Linked DNA regions of Diceros bicornis minor. The protein of the gene in region 1 interacts with the protein of each later gene in a pairwise test. Links are inferred from orthologs where the notes say so. Each region holds a gene or a part of one and is shown in the gene's direction. Other genes may lie near its edges.

Region 1 (11,936 bases):
CCAAGATCCAGTTTTCTTTCATTTTTTAACAGATTAGTAGCAATTGCTGCGAAAAACCTTCAAACTGAAGTGGTTCACAGAAAAAGCAAGGAGGTAGCATGGAACCTAACTTCCGTTGACCTTGTTCGAGCAAGTGAGGTCAGTGATAGTTCTCTCCCCCTCTTCTTTCTCCCGCCCTCCGCTTCCCTTCTCCCCCACTCCCCCTCTTGCTGTCTTAGTGCAGAAACCCTTGTCACTGTGTGTTGAATCTTTTTCAAAGGTTCTCACACTCTGGTGTTTTCTTTTTATCTAGGCACATTGCCACTATGTGGTAGTTAAGCTCTTTACAGAAAAACTCCTCAAGATTCAAGATAAATCTGTCCAAGCTGTCTTAAGGAATTTATGTCTCTTGTATTCTCTGTATGGAATCAGTCAGAATGCAGGGGATTTTCTTCAGGTCAGTATTTTTAAGGTTAAGTCCTGTTTATTTACTTTTGTAGAAAAATAATTGTGGCCTATTTTATATTTGTGTGTATATAAATATCTCTGTCTCTATACAGACATATATATGTTTGTTTGCTTATTTTGTTTCGTTTAGGGGAGCATCATGACCGAGTCTCAGATTACCCAAGTGAACCAGCGTATAAAGGAGTTACTGACTGCCATTCGCCCTGAGGCTGTTGCTTTGGTTGATGCTTTTGATTTTCAGGACGTGACACTCGGCTCTGTGCTTGGCCGCTATGATGGGAATGTGTACGAAAACTTGTTTGAGTGGGCCAAGAAATCCCCACTGAACAAAACAGAGGTAAAAAACGATGCCTTTTCACCTTTTGAAATTCTTCATTTAAATATTAAGGCAGGAAAGATCTCTGAGAGTGATCCATCTGTGGAACCTTTGAAAGCTCTTGTGACCATTTCGGACAATCACCTTATTTGAGCAACAGGTTCAGAAGGGAACTGGGTCGTTCCCACAGTAAGCAGGTTTTTAATTTCCTTGAGTAGTTAATAACTAATTGAAAATTTTCAAACATGTACAAAAATAGAATTCTCTAATGCACCTGCATGTACCCTTTGTCCTGCTTTAACAGCTGTCTACTCACAGCCAGTTGTGGTTCATCTGAACCCCCCCAGCCGCCCCACCCCGGGGATTATTTTGAAACAAATCTAAGGTATCAGATTATTTTATCCATAGATATTTCAATATGTATCTCTAAAAGATAAAGATTCTTTTAAAAAATTAACCACATTCCATTCTCACACCTAATAAATTAATAGTAAATTTTTTAGTATCGTGAACTACCCACTGTTCAGATTTCCCCAATTGACTCAATTTTTTTTCCCTTAAGTTTCTTTGAATTAGAATCCAAATAAGGTCCAGGTAATTTCTCCATTAAAAGTACACTGTTTTACATTACAAGCTCCTTATCAGTAATTTCTTCTCTCTCCCTTCCCTAAAGGTCCATGAATCTTACTACAAGCACCTGAAGCCACTGCAGTCCAAGCTCTGAAGTGTCATGACGAGTGTAATCTGTTCCAGAAAGCAGCTCTGCTCTTCTACTCCCCTTGCTCCTGTCGCTCAAATCTGTGCGGCATCTTTATCGAATTCAGAGAGCTATAGAGCAAATGATAAATTGACCCCTTGCCTCTTTTTATAAATGAAGGAAAAAAAGAACAGATTTCAGAGATTAAATGAAAAAAAAGGTGTGTTTTAAGTGCAATTAACACTGAAAGAGACCTGTTAAGCATTCAGAAAAAGCTTTAAGAAATGTCATATGACTTCCATTTATAATGCTGCTGATCCCAGTAGGCCATGCCTTTTGATAATTAGTAGAATTTAACTACTAAGTAGTTAATTATTTTCACATCTCAGTTCTTAATCACTGGATATATAAGTGTTTTTAAGCAAAGATATTTTTTAAGTGAGGTATAACCCTTCCAGGCTTTCCTGCTAAATGTCCTACCACTCCCACCGTGGGGCCTGCTAAAAAGCAGGACTGAAGAAAAGGGATTGGGGGCAGGAAACTGATTGTGAGTTTGTGCTTGACACACTGACACATTCTCTGCCCGCTTGCCCTCCTTTGCCAATGTATTGCCGTGTATCATTCCTATCTAACTATTCCTGGTGCATTTTCCCAGCACAAGGATTTCTTCAACACAGGCCTACTGCAGGATCATTGTCTCGTGTAATTGGGAATTCATCTCCCGTTCGAGGAATCCCTAAATTGTCTATAGTAGCTCTACAACTGCCTTTGTCGCTAACGTCTTGGGAAGGGGTAGGTGGCAAACTTATCTCTACATGTAACTTTTGGCAGCTGATCGGACCTCAGTCAGTGGTGTTTGCTCTCCTTTCTTCTGAAGAAAGGAGCAAAAAGAGTCACAGTTCTTTCTTAGTAGAGTAAGTGTAGGGAGAGCTCTCGGTTACGGTTATTGTAACTTGGGTGACCATATTAACTGGATTTTCTGAAACAACTCAGATTTCATATATTCTGTCATTTTGGCGTAAGCCATTAAAATGCTTGGAGGGTACAGTATCGGGCGTTAAAAAAATAAAAGCATCACTCAGGTTACCTCTTACACCCAGGAGTAGCACAGAGATATCCTTTGACAAACCATGTTCTGATTTTTGGATGAGAAAATATAATCATTGAAACTATGGCTAAAAGATAAATGGAAGTTCTAAAGAATTGTGTATCTGGGTTTGTTTTCAGTATGTTTCTAGGAGCTTTATCTGAATTGCTAAGTTGTCCTTTCAGCTGAAATCTAATTTATACAATCATTCTATATTTAAAGGTTAACATGAGTTTTTTTCTTGAAATCAATGTAAAACATGTCACTTGATTTTTTTTTTTTTAACCTGTTAACTATTTGTGTCTGTGATATCTGCCTCATGAAACCAGTTGTTCTAGACCCAGTTGTTGAGAAGGTAGTATAATTCAGTGAAAATGTAATTCCTATCTTGAGACCTGCCGTAAACTCTATCCCAGTGGAACCAGTAATATGAGACTTTTAGGTCCAGCAGAAATACTGTCTGTTGACACAAGCCTTAATCTTTCTACCAGGAGAACTAAGTAATAGTTGTGTTAAGACTGAAGTGAAAAGCACTCTTTGTTAATCTCATTTGGGTATATCTTGACAGTAGTTTGGATTCTGGGAAATAACAAAAAGTAAATTTAAATTTCTTAATATTGACCTATTAAATGTAGATTTGTTTCAGAATTAGTGGTTAAATACCTTATCCACAGATGCCTATCTGTGGGTCAGGATCTAAGGGTGTTTGAAATGACACCGTCCCACCTAATCCAGCTGCATAGATCTGAGATCTGTCTTTAGCAGATGTGAACTGGATGTAGACATTACATCAGTCTAGCACCTTGAGTTTTATTTAAAAACTAAATCTGATATTTGATACTATTTTTATTAACATTGGAATATTTTGTCATGAACTTTATTCACTGTAATTAAAGAATAAAGATATAGTAAAACCTCACTAATTTGTGCTATCAAGAGGGAAAGAGTGTACCACACAATTAAACGTGTTTCTTATGAAATTCTTAGGAAGAATTTTAAGATACAGGTTTATTAGGTTTAGGTAACACTAAAAACAAAAGATGAAGGCATGAGAGCTGCCTGAGCAGATGGCTCTTACATTAGCCGTAATCACTGTGGTAGCAGTGTCTGTGCTGGTCGATCTAGGAATACATGTTTGTTTTGTTGGCTACTTGGTAAAGGAAGCAGCAGGTCCAGTTTGCTGTCCCTAAGAAGCCAGACTTTGCCACAGATAAGTTTGGTTCTATTGGGTACTTTTGTAAGCTGTTTTCACAAAAAATACAAAGATAAATTTCAATTTTGTATTTTGGATAAATTTTGGAGAAAACACAGTCTTCTCCAAAATGATGATAAATACTGAGTAGAATAAGATTTTTCTATTAGATGATAATGATATAAGCCTTTTAAGAAAGTACTCTGAACAGTACCCAAAATTGAAAATTTGAGGTTTAATAGAGATGTTTTTGCTATTTGTAATGGATGAAGGTTGATTCTTCCTGAAGTGTTGGGAGCTCTGCTTTGTGCTCTTCTAGAGATACACTGAGGTGTATTTCAGTATTTGGACATTAGTGACCTGAAAACACAGTTGGTCCCAAAGCCTTTGGGGCCCTTCATGTTCTTGTCTTCAGAATGTAGCACTGCTAAGTATCAGCTTATCTTCAGAACATTTGCTTAATTGCAACATTACCTACATTCTCATGCTTTCTAAGAACTCACTGCTTGTAACTTCAGATTACATATACCTGGAGGCATTTTATAGTTCCTAAAGTTAACATGTTAGATCTTAATTCTTGGTTTTCTTCAGTGCAGGGCTTTGGCTAGAGAAATATAACTTCAAATTCATGATTCTAGAGTTCCCTGGGAAACGAAAATTCTTTAGACTGCTGCTGCTCCAAGTCCCTCCTCCCCCTATCTGTGTTCTTTCCATCTGTTTTATTAGGAAGGAAGAGAATTAGATGCAGATGGTCTGTAACACCTGCTAATCTTTATATATGCGGAAGGTATGCCTCGGGTTATAGGTTATCTTCAAGAGTAGCTGCTGCTGTAGCTGGAGAGAGGAGCCGTGCCAGGAAATTGATTGTTCTGCTTGAGACCAAGAGTCTTGGTAATTCTGACTCAGATAAGGCTTTGATCATTTTCATGGAGTAATGTAGAGATCATTTCAGCTAATTGAATATTTACTACTCCATGCTTGGAGGATTAGACCAAGTCACACTGTAAATGACTAAAATGACTTTTCATTTTGAAATAGTGGTGGTGGAGTTTTGCTTTTAGCTATCCACACTTACAAATTTTTCAGTACCTCTTCCTGTGGTCCATGATACTAAACATAGAAAACATAGAAGGAACCTTTGGAGTTAGCAGATGATAGCTGTTGCAGACCTGCAAATTCCTGGATTCCAAGGGGTTTTTATGTTTGACTTTGACTTTTGCCTTAAATTTGTGTGCCATTGATTATCTCGGGAAGATCATGGGAAATTGGGAGTGATTTTACATATTATGAACTAAAGTAAATTGTTTTGTCACAATACTGTTGACTTTCCTAGGTTAGGTATCAAATGTGTGATCTTCAACATAATCAGACTGCTGACTGCTACTTTGTAAACACCATTTTATTTCCAATTGTTGTGGATTCAAGGACGGGACTTAAACATCCTTTGTAATATATAATCACTCTGCTACCTTTTTTCCTTTTACTGTTGTGGTTTGAGTTTGGTTCCTACCTGACAAGATGAATTTCCATGTATTGTTACCCATCCCCGGCCGGACGGGTCGAGGGGGTTGGGAGTACTGAGGAGGTGCGCTGGTCCAGAGCGTGTGAGTCACGGTTGGACGGCAGTGACCCGCCAGCACTGATTGGCCTGCGAGTAAGGCAAACCACTAACTCCCTTTTCCTTTGTAAAACTGGAAAACCCTTAATAAAATCTGTAATTAACACAAAAAATGTTACGTGTCTTTATTGGGAGGCTGTATTGGGTTTCATTCTGGTTTCGCAGCTTTGATTTTGATAATTGAACAGAAAGGTCACAGCCATTTCCCGAAGCTTTGTTGTGTGGGATAAATATATATAATTATGGTTTATCGGTCTTCCAATCTTAACACGTTTTTCACGCCTCCAACCTCGCCACGAGTCAGCCCCCAGAAGAGTGCTGGAGGAATTTTAGTGTTTGGTTTTGGAGCCCAGGCCCCCGGCAGTCTTCTAGGGAGGGCGAGAGGAAGAACACCACCGGCCGTCGCGGCCCTGTTCCCTCTTTCCGAGCGGGTGTTGAGGGAGCACCCAGCAACGCGCGGAGCCGGGAACAGAGGCCCGGCCTCCACCAACGGCCAGGGCGGGGCACCGTGGGAAATGTAGTTCATCTCGGCGCCCGTGGTTCCCTTGACTCCAGCAGCTGAGCGGACCGTGGACTACAACTCCCAGGATGCCTCGAGACTCGCCTTCCGGAGGCCGAGCGACTGAGAGATTGGCGGCCGCGGGGTTCTGAAGCTGGAGGACCGACCAAACTGGGCTCTCGCGGAGCCGGGACCAGTGGACATGGCTGGGACAGGTGCCCTCGTCTGCGCCTCTGCGGGGAATGGCGCGTAACCCGGAGGATTTCAGGGGCTAGAAGGATTGTAGGCTGAGCTCGGAGCGCAAATGGTCTGGGCGCTCGGAGAGGGTGACGCATGGAGGGGCACGGAGTCTCGGGACCGAGGGGGTGACTCCGGGAGGGGTCTTGCTAAAGGGCAGGTTTGGGATTTTAAAATGCCTGGCACGGAGTTGGTTAAAGAGATGCGATGACGCGATGGTACTGTGTGGCCCTGTGGCTTTTGCAAACCTCTCTTAGAAATTCTCGCGGTGTGGGAGGCTGGGACAGTATCGATAGGAGATGGCAGAAGTTCCTGGATGTGTTATGGTGCAAAACATGTTTGGACTTGTAGGTCGTGAAAATTGCCATTACAGAGAAAGATACAAAAATAGTCAGAGTGGCCCCTATGCATAACCCAGCTAAACTTTGCCTTCTAATAACAGGACAGGCCAAACCCAGCGAAACCGAGATGGCCTCCTCCGACTCCTTTCTTCCAAGGCATGCCAAAAGTCGGTTTTGGTAATGTTGAGGAGGGGTAGGGAGAGAGTGATAATTCTGAGGAAAACTTCTCTATTAATGAGGTGAGTCGGATTTACAGTTAGTGTGAAGGGAAAAATTTCCACCATCAGTGAATATAGTGTCAAGGAGTAACCAGCACTCACATCAGCTTTTGTGCTGAATGCTGCCTAGGAAGTAGTCATGGGTATTGCCTGGGAAGGTGTATTGGCCATAGTACCTAGCACCTACTTCCTTTCTGAGATGGATACCTGCCATCCCCCCCATCCTCTCTCAGGATAAAGGATGAGGACCACTGCCCTTTATGGGAGTAATCTTGAAGCCTTGAAAAGCTCATTAAGTTACCCAGAGCACTTTGCTTCTCATCTGAATTGCTGTCCCCATAAGGAATTGTTAATTTATGGAAATAGGAAAGCTCCATCATTTTTAAGCAACCACTTTAATTTTCTTTATTAGGAAGGATGAGCTCCATGTGGGCAGAATTCAAATGATGTGGACAGCGCTGTGAAGGAGCCACAGGCAGCCCCTAGAGCCTTAGAGATGGTAGGCAGAATGCAGAGTAAGATGTATGGAAATGTGAACCCGCTCTTACCCCCACTCCCACCCCCAAGATCTTGACTGCATGGAGTACTTGGGGGCTAGGTGTCAAGGACCAGGATGTGGTCCCCAGAGAACTGTGCTAGGAAGTAGAATTGATGTCAAACTTCTTATTAAGCAATGAGCAAGACTTTCTTCTGAGCCTCTGAATGTCCAGCTGGAAGCATTTTTAAGTGTCTCTTGCTGGTATTGAGGAGACAGGGACATGGAAGAGAGGAAAACATTCCCAGTCACATTACAGCCTGGCTGGGAAGGTTTGCATGTGGTGTCTGGAAATCAGTGAAAAGCAGAGACTTCTGCCCACCGGATTGCACCCACAGTGGCATCCTGTACTGGTTAGTGGGAGCTTTTCCACGCTCTGAATGAGTCTATTCTGAGAAACTCTAGGAAAGCATAAAGGGCTTCTGTCTCTGAATGCCACTGGAGCTCCTTTTTCTCTCGTGACTTGGCAAAAGACCAAGCAATTCATTCTGCATTCTCAGTTTCAACACATGTTCACTGATTTTGTTAATGTGATTTGTTTTTCCCATTTTAGGCACCAAAAACCAAGAAGGGATTGAAAGGTGAGTGGAGAGATGGAACATCACCCTTAAGTCAAAAATAATTTCTGCCCCTTGGGTCCAAAAATAACTTTGTTGTGTCTGAATGTTCTTGGTGTGAGTCTTGCTGATTTCCCCATAATTTCATAGGCAGCTTTGGTCTTCCTAGGGGACTCCTTATGCTGCCTCATTGGCCCTCAGAGTAATACAGAAATAAACTAGGGATGGGAATTGAGGAAAAAACCCTTCTCGTTGGGCTCTGTATCCAGAAGCATACGGTTGGGGGCCGACCCCGTGCCTTAGTGGTTAAGTGCGCGTGCTCCGCTACAGGTGGCGCGGGTTCGGATCCCGGGCGCGCACCGACGCACCGCTTATCCGGCTATGCGGAGGCCGCGTCCCACATACAGCAACTAGAAGGATGTGCAACTATGACATACAACTGTCTACTGGGGCTTTGGGGGGGGGGGGGAAAGGAAGAGAATTGGCAATAGATGTTAGCTCAGAGCCGCTCTTCCTCAGCAAAAAAGAGGAGGACTAGCATGGATGTTAACTCAGGGCTGATCTTCCAAAAAAAAAAAAAAAAAAAAAACATACGGTTGGGGTTACAGGTGGTGGTAAAGGCACTTCAGCTGGATGCAAGACCTCATTCAGGACTCAAACTTGGGTTTCCCCCACATGACCCCATCGGAAAGTGGCCAAGAAGGTATGTCTCCAGACCAGTTCTGAAGGTCTCAGATGGAAGGATACAAGGAGGCTATTGGTATGAAAGAAGCTTGTATGTGCCTAGAAATCTTGGACACTTTTCCTAAAGAAGCAAACTGGGCTTTGTTCCAAGTCTGGAAGACTGGCTTGTTGGCCAGTGTGTCACACAGAATGTAGGTTCTACTGAAAATCTTCACCACCATCCTTTGAGAAAGTTATTTTCAATTTCTACCCTAGGGTCTTTCCACAAGGCATTGTGACTTGTTGCCAGAGAGTTAGAAAACATCTCGTGGCCCGTGAAGAGAGAGCTAAGCCCAACATCTGAGACCTCTGAGGTCCTGGAGTGAGGTCTCAAGACGTGAGGCTTGTAAGGATCATTCTTCTTTTCTCCTGAGGTCATGATGGCTGCTTTTCTCTTCCAGGCTCCATAGATGATGTCCTTGGTGACCTCCTAGGGGATGACAGTAAGTGCCCCTTCCCCAGAATCCCTTCGTTTAGGCTTCTTCTTTTCTTTTTTAAATTGAGATATAATTCATGTAAAATTCGCTTTTAAAGTGTACAGTTTGGTGGCTTTTAGTGTATTCACAAAGTTATACAACCATCACCACAGTGTAATTCCAGAACATTTTCATCACCCTGTAAAGAAACTCCATACCCATTAGCAGTCACTCCTCGTTCTCCCCTCCCCCCAACCCTAGGCAACCACTTGTCTACTTTCTTTCTCTATGTCTTTGCCTATTCTAGATGCTTTATATAAAATGGAATCATACAGTATGTGGCTTTTGCATCTGGCTTCTTTCACTTACCATAATGTTTTCAAAGTTCATCCACACTATAGCATTCCTTTTTTCATTTCTTTCTATGTCTGGACACTATTCCAGTATGGAGATGCCATATTTTGTTTATCCATTTGTGAGTTGATGGATATTTGAGTGATTTCCACATTTTGGCTAGGCTGTTGTGAATAACGCTTTTATCAACATTCATATACACATTTTTGCATGCACATATGTTTTCAGTTCTTTGGGGTATAAACCAAAGAGTGGAATCATTGGACTATATGGTAACTCTATGTTTAAATTTTTGAGGAACCACCAAACTATTTTCCACAGCAGCGGCACCATTTTACATTCCCACGAGCAGTGTAAGGGGGTTCCGATTTCTCCAGGTTCTTGCCAATACTTGTTATTTTCTGTCTTTTTGATTATAGCCATCCTAGTGGGTGTAAAGTTGCATCTCATTATAGTTTTGATGTGCATTTCCCTAATGACTAATGATGTTGAACAAATTTTCATATGTGTATTGGCCATATGTATATCTTCTTTGGAGAAAGGTCTTTTCAGATCCTTTGCCTATTTTTTTTTAATTGATGTCATTATAGTTTATAACATTATGAAATTTTAGTTGTACATTTTTGTTTGTCAGTCACCGTATAAATGCATCCCTTCACCCCTTGTGCCCACCCCCCAATCCCCTTCACCCTGGTAACCACCAACTCTTCTCTCTGTCGGTGTGTTAGTTTATCTTCCACATATGAGTGAAATCATGCACTGTTTGTCTTTCTTTCTCTGGCTTATTGCACTTAACATAATACCCTCCAGGTCCATCCATGTTGTTGCAAATGGGACGATTTTGTCTTTTTTTATGGCTGAGTAGTATTCCATTATATATATATATACACCACATCTTCCTTATCCAATCATCAGTCAAGGGACACTTGGATTGCTTCCATGTCTTGGCTATAGTGAATAATGCTGCAATGAACATAGGGCTGCATAAGCCTCTTTGGATTATTGATTTCAAGATCTTTGGATAAATACCCAGTAGTAGGATAGCTGGGTCATAAGGTATTTCTATTTTTAATTTTGTGAGGAATCTCCATACTGTTTTCCATAGAGGCTGCACCAGTTTTCATTCCCACCAGCAGTGAATTAGGTTCCCTTTTCTCCACATCCTCTCCAACATTTGATATTTTTTGTCTTGGTGATTATAGTCATTCTAACGGGTGTAAGATGATATCTTAGTATAGTTTTGATATGCATTTCCCTGATGATTAGTGATATTGAACATCTTTTCATGTGTCTGTTGGCCATCTGTATATCTTCCTTGGCAAAATGTCTTTTCATATCCTCTGCCCATTTTTTGCTTGGGTTGTTTATTTGTTGTTCAGTTGTGTGAGTTCTTTATATATTATGGAGATTAACCCCTTGTCAAATATATGATTTGATAATATTTTCTCCCAGCTGGTGTGTTGTGTTTTCATTTTGATCCTGGTTTCATTTGTCTTGCAGAAGCTCTTTAGTCTGATGAAGTCTCACTTGTTTATTTTTTCTTTTATTTCCCTTGTCCGTGTAGACATGGAATTCGAAAAGATCCCTCTATGACTGATGTCAAAGAGTGTACTGCCTATGTTTTCCTCCAGGAGTTTTACAGTTTCAAGTCTTACCTTCAAGTCTTTGATCCATTTTGAGTTAATTTTTGTGTATAGTGAAAGAAAATAGTCTACTATCATTCTTTTGCGTGTGACTGTCCACTTTTCCCAGCACCATTTATTGAAGAGACTTTCCTTTCTCCATTGTATGTTCTTAGCTCCTTTGTCGAAGATTAGCTGTCTGCAGATGTGTGGTTTTATTTCTGGGTTTCAATTCTGTTCCATTGATCTGTGTGTCTGTTTTTGTACCAGTACCATGCTGTTTTACTTATTATAGCTTTGTAGTATATTTTGAAGTCAGGGATTGTGATGCCTCCAGCTTTGTTCTTTTTGCTCAGGATTGCTTTAGCTATTTGGGGTCTTTTGTTGCCCCATATGAATTTTAGTATTCTTTGTTATATTTCCGTGAAGAATGTCATTGGGATTCTGGTTGGGATTGCATTGAATCTGTACATTGCTTTAGGTAGTATGGATATTTTAACTATGTTTATTCTTCCAATCCGTGTGCATGGGATATCTTTCCATTTCTTTATGTCATCACTGATTTCTTTCAGTCATGTGTTATAGTTTTTGTTGTATAGGTCTTTCACCTCTTTGGTTAAATTTATTCCTAGATATTTTATTCTTCTTGTTGCAATTGTAAGTGGGATTGTCCCCTTGTGTTCTCTTTCTGTTAGTTCATTATTAGAGTATAGAAGTGCAACTGATTTTTGTAAGTTGATTTTGTACCCTACAACTTTGCTGTAGTTGTTGATTATTTCTAATAATATTCCAGTGGATTCTTTAGGGTTTTCTGTATATAAAATCATGTTGTGGGCCAGCCCCGTGGCTTGGCGGTTGAGTGCGTGCGCTCCGCTACTGGCGGCCTGGGTTCGGATCCCAGGTGCACACCGACGCACCGCCTCTCCAGCCATGCTGAGGCCCTGTCCCACATACAGCAACTAGAAGGATGTGCAGCTATGACATACAACTATCTACTGGAAGGCTTTGGGGAAAAAAAAACGGAGGAGGATTGGCAATGGATGTTAGCTCAGAGCCGGTGTTCCTCAGCAAAAAGAG
Region 2 (12,559 bases), on another chromosome or scaffold:
CGCTGGACGCTGTTCTACTTGCTGGGAATATAGCAGTGAATGAGAGAACATTTATGTTACAGAAATATCTTTTGGGCTAACTTGGAGAATAGACTGAGCGAAGGGTCACTAGAGGCAGATAGAAACCTTGAGCCAAGGCCATAAGCCATATTACAGGATTTGATTTGAGTCATGAAGGTGTCTGGCAGGCAGGTGCTGTGACGATGAAGCTCAAAGAGCCATCGGGGACGTGGCAGGTAGATTTGGACATCTGTCCTAAGGAAGGGAGGGCTGAAGTGCAGCATCTCTGAACCAGAGGCTCTATGGTGGTCTACCATGACTGAGTGTATCTGGGGCCCACCTGCAGACCTAGTAAATATTTCTCTCTCTGTCCCCATTTGACCCTGCCAGCCATGCGTCGGTTCTGTCAGGTGCTTGTGGAGGAGAGGCAGGATTTGATAGTGAAGCAACTGGAGGATACACTGAGGGAGTAAGCGGCCTGCCTCCCAACCAGGGGCTCCAGCCAGTCACACGCTCAGGGCGTCCCACATGCTCCGCCCCTGGTCCAGAAGGCTGGGGTATTGACCTGGTGCCCTGACTGAACAGACAGTGGGCTTCTGCAGGCATGGGCTCATCTGACCTAGTCATCAACCTCCTTAAGCTGAGCACCTGTCATTTTTAGAAGCTTTGCATCTTTTTTTAGTCTTTGGTAGCCGTTGTGTGTGTACAAAATGTGTTTAAGGGGGTTGGGGTAGGAAAGCCTAGAGAGGAATAAAGGCAGCTTTCTGGGTCCCTATTCTGATGGGTTTATTTTTGTATTCCGTATCTAATAAATTCCATATTCTCTTAAATTCCAGGTCTGTTTTATTTCTTGTTCACATTCTTCCTGTCATCTTTGGGAGCTAGATGATTTTTTTCTTTTTCTTTTTTTTTTTGTGAGGAAGATCAGCCCTGAGCTAACATCCGTGCTAATCCTCCTCTTTTTGCTGAGGAAGACCGGCTCTGAGCTAATATCTATTGCCAATCCTCCTCTTTTTTTTTTTCTCCCCAAAGCCCCAGTAGATAGTTGTATGTCATGGTTGCACATCCTTCTAGTGGCTGTATGTGGGACGCGGCCTCAGCATGGCCGGACAAGCGGTGCGTTGGTGGGCGCCCGGGATCTGAACCTGGGCCGCCAGCAGTGCAGCGCGCACATTTAATCGCTAAGCTACGGGGCCGGCCCCTTCTTTTTAAATTCTAAGGTGGGTTATATGTGCAGAATGCTGTCTGGGGGCAGGTCAGAAAGGAAGGAAAAAGGTGATCCCTAATTGATGGGGACTTTCCAGGTGTTGGATGCAGTGTCCCTTAGGATCCTTCCATGATCACACCCACCTTACACATGAGTGGCTGAGTGGCAGGGTGGCGGTTATAATTCCAAACGTTCCTGCTTCCAAATACAAGTTCTTTCCATTCTTGCCTTCTCAAAAGGCTTTTGAAATGAATCTCTGGTGACAAGCCTGGGTCTTCCATTTTCAGCTCTAGTGTTGTCAGCTGTTCAAATCATACCACCTGTGTGCTTCTCCGCAAAGCCCTTGCACGTCTGAGCTTTAGCCTGAGGACTGATGCTGTGAATGGGCAGAGCAGAGACTATCGCCATTTTCTAGAAGATGCAAGAGCTTTTAGCACCAACTGATGGCTTTGGCCATTCACTTGGGTTTGTGACCATCCTCTCTCTCTTGGGTCCAGGTTTGGTGGTTCTTGTTCTTCAATGACAATTTTTCCTTTTTTTTTTTCAAATCAACAAAAAGCAGCACACCAACAAATCCAGATTCTTCAAGGTGGCTTTTTCTTTTTTTTTTTTTTTTTTTTGTGAGGGGGACCAGCCCTGAGCTAACATCTGTTGCCAATCCTCTCCTTTTTTTGCTGAGGAAGACCGGCCCTGGGCTAACATCCATGCCCCTCCTCCTATACTTTATATGGGATGCCGCCACAGCATGGCCTAACAAGCGATGCATCAGTGCGTGCCCGGGATCCGAACCAGTGAACCCTGGGCGGCCGCAGCAGAGCACACGCACCCAACTGCTGGCGCCACTGGGCAGGCCCTCAAGGTTTTTTCTTTTACACTAGACAAATTTCTTTAGAAACTGACTTGGCTAATAGACATAGGAAGGGAATTCACCCGATGAATGAGGGAGCACTTAGGACCAGAAGAGAAGGTGGAGATGGGAACCAGAGTCTCTTGAGATCTCTGTAATGGGAGCTATAGTCTCATAAGGCCACTGTCCTGAGATGGAGAGGATGGTGCCTTCCATGGAAGAGAGAGGCTGTTTCTGTCTTCTATTCCGTTCAAGATTCAAACGGTTATGTGAGAAAAATTTAATATTTTCCTATCCTCGAGTGTGGAATCTCCCTGCATTTATTTATATCTTTAATTTCTCTCAGCAAGGTCTTTGTAGCTTTCAGTGTACAGATCTTACACATATTTGGTTAAATTTATCACTACATTATGCTTTTCATATTACTTTAAATGTATGGTTAATTTCATTTTCTAATTGTTTCTTGCCAGTATATTGAAACAACTGATTTTTCTATGTTGTATCTATCAAGGAATTTGAAGGCTCTGAGATTTTACCCTACTTGCAAACCAACAGGTTTCATGGATCCTGGCAGAAGGCATGAGAATCCTGGGTCAGAGACAAAGGACAGCTTACTACTCACAGCAGTAGCAGTAATCAGAGTATCAGCTTTCAGTTGCCCAAGCCCTGATTCTTACAGGGCAAGCTGAGGCGCACTAGCGGATGCCTCCATGTGCAGTGCGTGTGTTGCAAAGGAGGAAACCCAAGTTTAAGGAACCCGATTCTTTTATAATGGGCAGTAAGCCTGCCTGAACTTTGGCCCTGAGGGAGACATTATCTTATTATACTGAGTAGTAAACCAACCTATCATCTGCTCTGGAGGGAGACACTGTTGCTATCATGCAAGGCTGTTTGATATATATACACATATATCCTTGAAGATAGCCTAGAACATAGGCAGTCAGTGTCCCTGCTTGCAAGAGAGGCAGAAACATGAGAGACTGAGGAAGATTCATCTCCTGACAGTGTCTTGTGACCTTGCTAAATTCACTTATTAGCCCTAGTAGTTTGGGGAGGACTTTTTAAAAAATTTTCAATGTATACAATCATATTGCCTGTGAATAAAGATGATTTTCCTTCTTTGTTTTCAATATTTATGTCTCATTTTTCTGTTCAAATGGCATTGCCTAGAACCTCCAGTACAATGTTGAATAAAAGTGGTAAGAGGGGACATTCTTGCCTTGTTTTCAATCTTAGCAGGATTGAGTTCAGTCTCTTATTCTTAAGCATAACGTTTCTGCAAGTATTTTTCATACTGCCCTTACCAGATAGAAGAGTTTCCTTCAATTCTTAGTTTGCTGAGAGTTTTACCATGAATGGGGGTTTAATTTTTGTCAGATGTTTTTATCTGTACCTCTAGAGATGATATAATTCTCTTTCAATTATTGTGGTAAATTACATTGATTAAAAAAAATTAAACCAACATCATATGCCTGCAATAAGCCCCATATAGTCATTGATGCATCATCCTTTTATATATTGTTGAATTTGGGGAATTTTACATCTATTTTCATGAGGGATATTGCGCTATAATATTCTTTTTTGTAATGCATTGTTGTTTTTGGTATCAGGGTAATACCTCATACATGTTTTGGAAGTGTTCCTCAATTTTCTGAAAGTTTGTGTCAAATCAATTTTTTAAAAACTTTAAATGTTTGGTAAAATTCACCTGTAAGGCCATCTGTACCAGGAGTTTTCTTTGTGGGAAGGTTTTTACCCATGAATTCAATTTCTGTAACAGATATAGGGCTATTCACATTTTCTATTTCTTGTGTCAGTTTTGGCAATTTATGTCTTTCAAGAAAATCTGTCCATTTTATCTAAGTTTAATTATTGACACAAAATTGTTTATAATATTCCCATATTATCCCTTTAATATCTATAGGATCTGTAGTGTTATCTCCTCTTTCTTTATATTGAAATGAGTTTTTTTGATCAGTTAATTTAAATGTTTATCAATTATATTGAGCTTTTCAAAGAACCAAATTTGGTTTCATTGATTTTTCTCTGTTGTTTCTCTTCTGTTTCATTTCCATTCTTATCTTTATTTTCTTTGTGTTTAATTTGCTCTTTTGCTAGCTTTTTAATGTGGAAGCTTAACTCAATGGTTTTAAGCTTTTTTCCCCCAAATATAAGCATTTAAAGCTATTGATTTCTCTCCAAGCATTGCTTTAGCTATACATAATTTTGATATGTTGGTTTTTTTAAACATTCAATGTTCTAATTTCCCTGTGATTTCTTTTTTATCTATGATTTATTTAGCATATGTTACTTAGCTTCCAAACATTTGGGGATTGTTCAGCTATCTTTGTTAATGGTATCTACTTTAGTTCCGTTGTGACTAGAGAACGTAAACTACAATTTCAATCCTTTGAAATTTACTGAGACATGTTGATGGCCAAGTATAGTCTGTCCTGGTCAATGTTTCACATGCACTTGAAAAGAAGTGTATTCCGTGGTTTTTGGATGTGGTGTTCTATAAATGTTAATTAGATTTAAATTGTTTTATGATGTTTAAATCTTCTGATTCTTACTGTTATTTGATCCATTCTATCTATTACTAGAAGAAGGATGCTAAATTTTCCAACTATAATTGTTGATTTGTCTATTTCTCCCTTTTATCCTGTCAGTATCTGCTTCCTGTATTTTGAAGCTTTGTTATTAGGAGTATAAACATTTAAAATTGTTTGTCATCCTGATAAATCGATCGGTTTATCATTATGAAATGTTTTGAATTTTTGGTAATTCTTATTTTGAAGTCTATTATGTCAGCTTACAAATATTTTAGCTTTCTTATGATTTTTTGTGTTAAAATACACATAACATAAAATTTACCATCTTAACCATTTTTAAGTGTACAGTTCAGTGGGATTAAATATATTCACATTGTTGTGCAACCATCACCACCATCCATCCCCATAGCTCTTTTCATCTTGTAAAACTGAAAATCTGTACCTATTAATAACTCTCTATTCTCTCCTTCCCCACTTCCGCCAACCCCTGTCAACCACCATTCTACCTTCTGTCTTTACGATTTTGCCTACTCTTAGTACCTCATATGTGGAGTCTTACAGTATTTGTTCTTTCTGTGACTGGCTTATTTCACTTAGCATAAGGTCCTCAAGATTCATCCATGTTGTAGCATAAGTCAGAATTTCCTTCCTTTTGAAGACTAATATTTCATTGTATGTATATACAACATTTTGCTTATCCATTCATCCGTCAACGGACATTTGGGTTGCTTCCATGTTTTAGCTATTGTGAATAATGCTGCCATGAACATGGGTGCACAAATATGTCTTCAGGACCCTGCTTTCAATTCTTTTGGGACTATATCCAGAAGTGAAATTGCTGGTTCATATGGTAATTCTATTTTTTAATTTTTTGAAGACTCTCCATATTGTTTTCCACAGAGGCTGTACCATTTTACATTCCCACCAACAGTGCCCAAGGGTTCCAATTTCTCCACATCCTTGCCAACACTTGTTTTCTGGTTTTTTAATAATAGCCATCCTCTTATCATTTGTGTGGTATGTTTTTTCCCATTTTACTTTTAACCATTTGTCTTTTTATTTAACATGTCTCTTGCAGACATGTTCATATAATTGAATTCATATACTTGAATCTTGCTGCTTTATCCAGTCTGATGATCTTTTAATCGGTCCTGGTCATTACATTTAATGTAATTATTGATATGGTTGGATTTAAGTCAACTGTCTTACTACTTGTTTCCTATTTGTGCTATATGCTCTTTATTCATTTTTTTCCTTCCTGTTTGCCTTCTTTCAGATTAATCAATCATTATTTAGTATCACATTTTATTGCCTTTTTTGGCTTCTTATACCTTTTGGTTTTTTAAAAACTTGTTTGCTCTGGGGATTACAATATATCTGTCCCATGCCCTCAGTGAGAAGTCCACAGTCCTTATCATGATTTATTTACAAAGACTCATGACCTGACCTCTGCTTGTATCTCCAGCCTTCCTCCCAGACCCTGCAACCTCCAGCCGAATTAGATTTGTTGCAGTTCATTAATGCTCCGCACTGACTCAAACCTCCAAGACCCCATCAAACCCTTCCTTCTGCTTCCAACACCCCACCCTCCAGCTAGCTAACTAGGACTCATCCTTCAGAACTCAACCATCACTTCCTAAGTGTTTAGGGTGAATGTATGGTGTGTAGGGCTTTCTGTGTGAGCCAGTGCCTATGTTTGTGGGGGTGGGGTTAACCCCCCCTGCTGCATGCTTCCATAGCCCCCAGCCCTCCCTTTCTTAATAGTCATCACATCCATATGGCGGCCTTCCCAAGCAACCAAGCCAGCGCCCTGTTTGTCGTGCTCATCGCTGTATTCCAGCATTTGCAGAGATCTGGCACAAGTCAGGCATTCAATGAGACTACTTATCTGAATTAAATAGAATGATGTGACTTAAATGGAGAGAACTGGCTTATTTCACAGAACATAACTAGAGGGCCAAAAAAGTCCCGAGAGCTGCTCGAGGTCACAGTGTTAGTGGCAAGGCCAAAGTGAAGACAAGTGGAGTGGTCAGAAAACAGTCAAGTTTTCCCAGGCATACTTGTAGCGAGGGATCCTGCGTATTTCCTGTCAGGGGGAGAGGAGAATTTTCCTACTCCAGGAGCCTCGGAGAGCCTGGGTGCTCTGACACACTGCCCAAGCCCCGGAGGTGTAGGGTCCGTGGCAGAGTTCCACAAATGTTGCGTAGAAGGAAAGGGGGAGAAATTAACAAACCCCCGTGAAAAACTCTCATAGAAGAAGGATGTTTTAAGGATGCCCTCCCCTTAATCGAAAAGGCTTTTCTGTGGGCGACAACCAGGCGTACACTTGCCAAGACCCTCCGTGGCTCTAACAGCCTCAAAAGCGGAGAACTAGGCCGGGGAGGCAGAGGGAGGCGCGCCCGCGTGCCGACGGGGGAGGGGGGGACACCGGAACCGACAGGCCACAGGGCGCCGAGGTGGCAGCGGGCGGCCCGCCCCTTCCTCGTGGAAGTCTCCGCCCCGGGCCCCTTCCCCTCCTCCGGCTGCTCCTCGGGCCTGAGCGGCCAGTGGCGGGGGGAGCGCGCACGGGAGGATCGGAGGAGCCCGGGCCCCCGGCGTGCGGCCACGTGTGCGCCCCCTAACGCGCAGGCCGCACGGAGGCGTCCTCCGGCCGCGGTCGCGAGGGGACGACCTGGGCCCCAACAGTCCAGGAAGCCCCGTGGTCCCCGAGACCGGGTGCCCTGGGGCCGGGTCCCCGCGCGTAAAGCGTGTGCGGGCGAAGGAAGCGGACGCACGTGCCAGCGCCGGTCCCCGCCAGCTCGGCCAAGTAGGTGCGACCCCCGCGTTGCAGAGAAGGGCGGCCTCGGGGCCCCGCTTCGTGCAGGGCTCGAGGACTCTGCACAAGTCTGCCCTTCCGTCCCCAAGCCCTTTGCCCCACTCACACTTCCTCCTCCTGGACACCGGGAGCGCCTCTCGCGAGCCGCCCGCCGCCGTGCAGAGGCCCTTTCGCTTTTTATCCCCCGGATCCGCCCCGCTGCGGGATTCCCAGGCCTGATCGGGCGCGGGTGTCCGGCTGGGGACGCGTCGCCGCCCGGCTGCACGCCCCGAGCCCGCCCTTCGCTCGGGGGCGGCGCTGAGCCGAGCCCCGCCGTCCCCCAGGCCTCCGGGCCCCGGGCTGCGCCTCCCACCCCGGCCTCCGTCCGCGCTGCCCGTCGCAGGCCTGGGCTGTCGGGAGCGACGGAGGTGAGCGCTCGGAAGAGCCCAGCCGAGCCTGGGAGGACCCCAGAGAAGACTTCGTGGACCACACTTTAATCGGGCCCCCCCTGGGTTTCTGGGCCGCTGGCTGTCACCCATCATTTGGTGTGTGGGGCTCGTGCCTCAGGACTGGGGTTATGATATAACCTCCTCGGTGAGGAGTTATGATATAATCACATGTTTCACTGCGCTTGGGCTATGAGGCAGGATTTGTTCTAAGCGCTTTATCTGCATTAACTCATATATTTATATCCTCACTGCTACCCTGTGTGGTAGTTACGGTTATACCCGCTGTGCAGAGGAGGAAGCTGGCTGAGAAAGTGGAGGAGCTCACGGGATGAGACCGCCCTCTCCCGGTGCCCTGGCCTCCCTCCCTCAGGAGTGAAGATGGCCCCTGGAGCTCTGCCTGGGGGGCCTGCACTTGTGGAGCCACCCTCTGCTGCAGACCACCGAATAATCTCATCCTATCCTTCACCCCTGTTCACGGCAGTCGCCACGGGCCCCTTCCGGATTCCAGGCTGCTTCAAGTTGGAAAATTTGAACCTGGCTTTTTGCAATTGAGGTAAGCGAGAATGGGCAAAGAACTTGGTGACCCCTTAGGCTGCAGGATGAAAAACTTCACAAAAGTAAAACAAGCCAAAGCAGCTGTCTGTTAAAGTCATATGAAAGCAAACACAGCTCCTGGCATGGCCTAGATGCTTAACAGGATTTACTTGTTGAAGCGATTGCACACATGGTTACAAGTAGTAACCACAGGGACATAGGAAGTGATGAGCATACAGACTTAAAGGAAGGAGCAGATGGGGAGGGGGGGCCATGACACCAATTCATTTCTGATGCTTGGTGCATTGAGTGCTTTTGTCTTTTTGTAGATGTTCGCCCTCCCTGAGAAGGAATCCAGGGCACCTTCCACCTGTCCGGGCCCAGCCTCCACACAGGACCTGGACAGTAACTATGGGGATGGTCTGGAAAGAGAATACTCTAGAAAACCAGACCAGAAGCTGCTGGAGCTCTATGGAGTGGGTGATCCCACCACCAGGTTCTCTTCCAACAGCTCCCACCTGTCCTCTAGAGGAAGAGTCATTAAATGGTTCTGGGACTCAGCTGAGGAGGGCTACAGGACCTACCACATGGACGAGTATGATGAGGACAAGAACCCCAGTGTAAGTGAAGCCCTCTCCCCACTGGGACTCAAGAGAAGACTGCAGGGTGGGATACCCTATCTTGACCAGTAGGGCAGCACCCAGCTTGCTCTTGTCAGGGTGGAGTTATGGTCCTCTGATCTCCTAGAGGGCTTCTGATGTAGTTCAGGGAGGCCCCAGTTTATTAGCTGGATCAGAAAATAGCCCATTTATAATTAAGGGGGCCCTGATTTGTGAGGGAGGAATTCAAGAACCATGGAATGCTCTTATATGGATTCTGACCCACTGCCCATCAACTGTCCAACTTTATAGATGGGACAGGACTAGGGTTCAGGTTGCAACTGTTTCACTTATGGGTTGTGTATTCTTGAGCTAATTACTTAACCTCTTTGAACCTCAGATCATCTCTAAAATGGGATAATGACAACTGCTGTATAGAATAGTCACAATGAAATGAGATCAGGCATGTAAAGTTATTAGCACAGTGCTTCCACATAGAGCAGTCAATAAATGGTAGCTGCTAATATTATTAATGTTATCTGTCCTGATTATTGTAAGTTATTACCAGTAATACCTTCAGAGGGCAGAGAGCTCTCACGAATAACCCTTTAATAATGTTTATTTGTTGAGCATCTACCAGGCGCCAGGCACTGTTCTAGATGCCAGGGTTACAGCAGTGAATAAAAATAAAGTTCCTGCCCTCATGGAGTTTATAGTCTAGTGGGGGAGACAGACAGGAACAGACAAAGAAAACGTATGATGTGTGGTGATAAGTGCTGTAGAGAAAAATAAAGCAGGGTAAAGAGGATAGAGAATGATGGAGTGGGCTGGGGGTGTTGCTACTTTATGTCAGGTGATCACAGAATGCCATTTTAATAAGGTGACATTTGAGCAGAGACCTGAAAAAAGTGAGGGATTGTATTAGTTATCTATTGCTGTGTAACAAATTACTTCAAATCTTGGCAGTTTAAAGCAAATGTTTCACAATTTCTGAGGTTCAGGAATCCAGGTGGGTGCCCCAGGCTGAAGATCTTCTGTGAAGCTGCAGTAAAGCCAGGGGCTACGGTCTCATCTGAAGGCTTCACAGGGTGGAGGGGAGAGGATCCACTTCCAAACTCACTCACAGGTTGTTGGCAGGCCTCAGTCCCTTGCCACATGGACTTCTCCATAGCACTGCCTCATGACATGGCAGCTGGCTTCCCCCAGGGCAAGTGATCCCAGAGACAATGAGAGATCACGAGTACCCAGGACGGAAGCCACGGGCTCTTTATAACCTAATCTTGGAAGTGACATCCCATCACTTCTGCATATCCTATTCATTAGAAGGAGGGCACTAGGTCCAGCCCGCACTCAAGGAGAAGAGATCACATAAGGATGTGAATACCGGGAGGTGGGGATCCCTGGGAGTGAGCATTCCAGGCAGAGGGAACAGCCACTGCAAAGGGCTCAGGGTGGAACCATGCTTGATGAGTTCAAAGGACAGCAAAGGGGTCAGCGGCTGGAGATTGGCTGGAGATGAGGTCAGAAAGGTAACGGGGTGGGGGTGGTGAGAGACCCTGGAGGGCCTTGACAGGACATGGTGAGCCTTCTAATTTTAGACAAAGTGGGATGGAAAGTGTTTAAAGGAGGAGCAACATGATCTGATTTTGGTTTTAAAAAGATGATTTGGACTTGGACTGCTGTATGGAGATTAGACCCAGGGTGGGCAGTGATTGGGAGGGAGTGGGCAAGAAAGGAAGCAGGGAGCTATTACAGTAACTTAGCCGGGAGATGCTAGTGGCTTGGCCCGGGGTCTTGGCAGTGGAGGGTGAGCAGTGTTTGGACCATGCACGTGTTTTGAGGGTGGAAGTGGCAGGATTTACAGGAGCGTTGGCGTGGGTGGAGGAGTGTGAAGGAGCACTGGCTTTTAGTTGTCATAATCTGAGCTCATCCGAGCTGTACTTCTTCATCCTCCTCCTTCCTCATGCCCCCAGTAACTCAGGGGTCAGGAGGATAGCGCATGCGTCTCTCTGCGACTCTATAAGGGACGACTTGAGCTGTGCCTTCCCCCATCCCTCCCCTATGAGAATCTGTGCCTATGGGGTGGGGTCAAGGTGGGTGATGTCGCGCGGGTCTCCGGGGGAGCATTTCCACCAACACAGGGCTCTTCTTGCTCTGCATACACCCTCGTTTCTGTTCCAGCCAGAGCCCCGATTTACTTTGTACATTCCTTCATCCCGTAAAAATGTATTGAGTCCTTCTAAGCGCCTGGAGAGACACAGTGGTGTCTCAGGCATGCATCCAGCCTTCAGGGACCTTCCCATCTAGTGGGAGAGATAAGGAATGTACAACAGTCCCTGTGACCTGGGGCAGAAACTGACCAGTGCTCTAAAGGGTCTAGAAGAAGAAAAGATCTCTTCCAGGTGGGGTTTTGGGGAAGGCTTCCCGGAGGAGATGGCATTTGAATTGAACTTTAGAAATAGGTAGATGGGTTCAAGGAGCAGAGTGGAGGGCACGGCTTGAGCAAAGGCAAGGGGGGCGCTTGGAAGGGCGGGATTGCAGGGAGCTCCTGCCTTTCTTTGCTGCCTCGGTGCGTTCCGCGGGCCTCTCGTCGGCCCCCTCTGCCATGCTCACCCTGCCTCTGTACCTCTCGTCTCCAGGGCATCATTAACTTGGGCACCAGTGAGAACAAACTCTGCTTTGACCTGCTGTCCAGGCGGGTAAGTCCCAGTGCGCCTGTGCATGGCATCGCCAGCTCCAAGGGGCTGTCTTCTCTTGGACATCCCCAGAATGCTTCCCCCACAAGAGCTGGCTGCTTACCTCCGCAGCCCTGGCCTGGATGTCAGGAGACCCAGATTCCAGATCTGCCTCGGGGGTGACTTTCTATGTGATCTTGAGGGAGTCACTTCCCTACTCTGATCTTGCTTCTTTATCTCTTTAGGCCTTTCCCTCGCTCAGTCCCTCCTGCTGTCTAGGTCCCTGCTCTCAGAGGGGAAACGCTAAGTGGTGTGTGGTCAGTATTTAACAACTGGCTCTTCAGTGGGGAGAAGAAGCCCTGATTTGTAGCTTTTGCTAATTCCCATAGTGTAAATACTCCCACATGGCCGATTTCAAGCTGCTGATGTGATGTCACTGCAGGCAGAGTTGGGAAGAGAGGCGCAGTGTGGCACCCGTTATGTCACGTCCCCCCGTCCAGACACATAGACGGAAATAACCTCGAGCACAGATGATAGTCAGATGTAGTAACATCATCGGGGCAATGATGTTTGAGTGCTTATTGTTTTAAATATAATTTACATAGTTTATATATAATTTAATTTTTTAAATGATTGTTTTTTAACACAGCTTGCAAAATTCCTGAAAATTTAGTAAGCAGATTTCTTGAGCTGGTGCGAGCCATCTCTAGCAAACGAGATGTCTTCCCAGGTCTTTGAGTCAGAGTTTGAGATTGTAGAGAGGGCGACACTTAACCCAAAGGAACACATTTCCTAGGGTGAAGTCTCCAGGCCCCAACAGGAGACGGAGGCAGGGAGTGGGCTTGAGAGGCCTGTTCTACCGAAAGCCAGCTCTCTGCTCTCAGGCAGCTCAGCACCGTCCA

Evidence for each region.
Region 2: the proteins of FBF1 (region 1) and ACCS interact in a two-hybrid assay, tested with the Homo sapiens proteins (2 studies listed by BioGRID and IntAct). The two-hybrid records come from large-scale screens. The link is inferred for Diceros bicornis minor from reciprocal best matches to the Homo sapiens genes FBF1 and ACCS.

What each region holds. Positions count from the first base shown.
Region 1 is NC_080757.1:56,320,878-56,332,813, reverse strand, and holds the start of FBF1 (fas-binding factor 1), read left to right. Parts: upstream 1-5,966; 5' UTR 5,967-6,071; exon of another isoform or gene 6,072-6,182; intron 6,183-6,535; 5' UTR 6,536-6,673; intron 6,674-7,064; 5' UTR 7,065-7,148; coding exon 7,149-7,151; intron 7,152-7,740; coding exon 7,741-7,768; intron 7,769-8,868; coding exon 8,869-8,910; intron 8,911-11,936. Other genes in the region: ACOX1 (peroxisomal acyl-coenzyme A oxidase 1), read left to right, coding at 33-138, 293-436, 578-784, 1,437-1,487. UniProt on the Homo sapiens protein: Keratin-binding protein required for epithelial cell polarization. Involved in apical junction complex (AJC) assembly via its interaction with PARD3. Required for ciliogenesis.
Region 2 is NC_080770.1:25,892,293-25,904,851, reverse strand, and holds the start of ACCS (1-aminocyclopropane-1-carboxylate synthase-like protein 1), read left to right. Parts: upstream 1-7,187; 5' UTR 7,188-7,412; intron 7,413-8,330; 5' UTR 8,331-8,402; intron 8,403-8,712; coding exon 8,713-9,003; intron 9,004-11,621; coding exon 11,622-11,681; intron 11,682-12,559. UniProt on the Homo sapiens protein: Does not catalyze the synthesis of 1-aminocyclopropane-1-carboxylate but is capable of catalyzing the deamination of L-vinylglycine.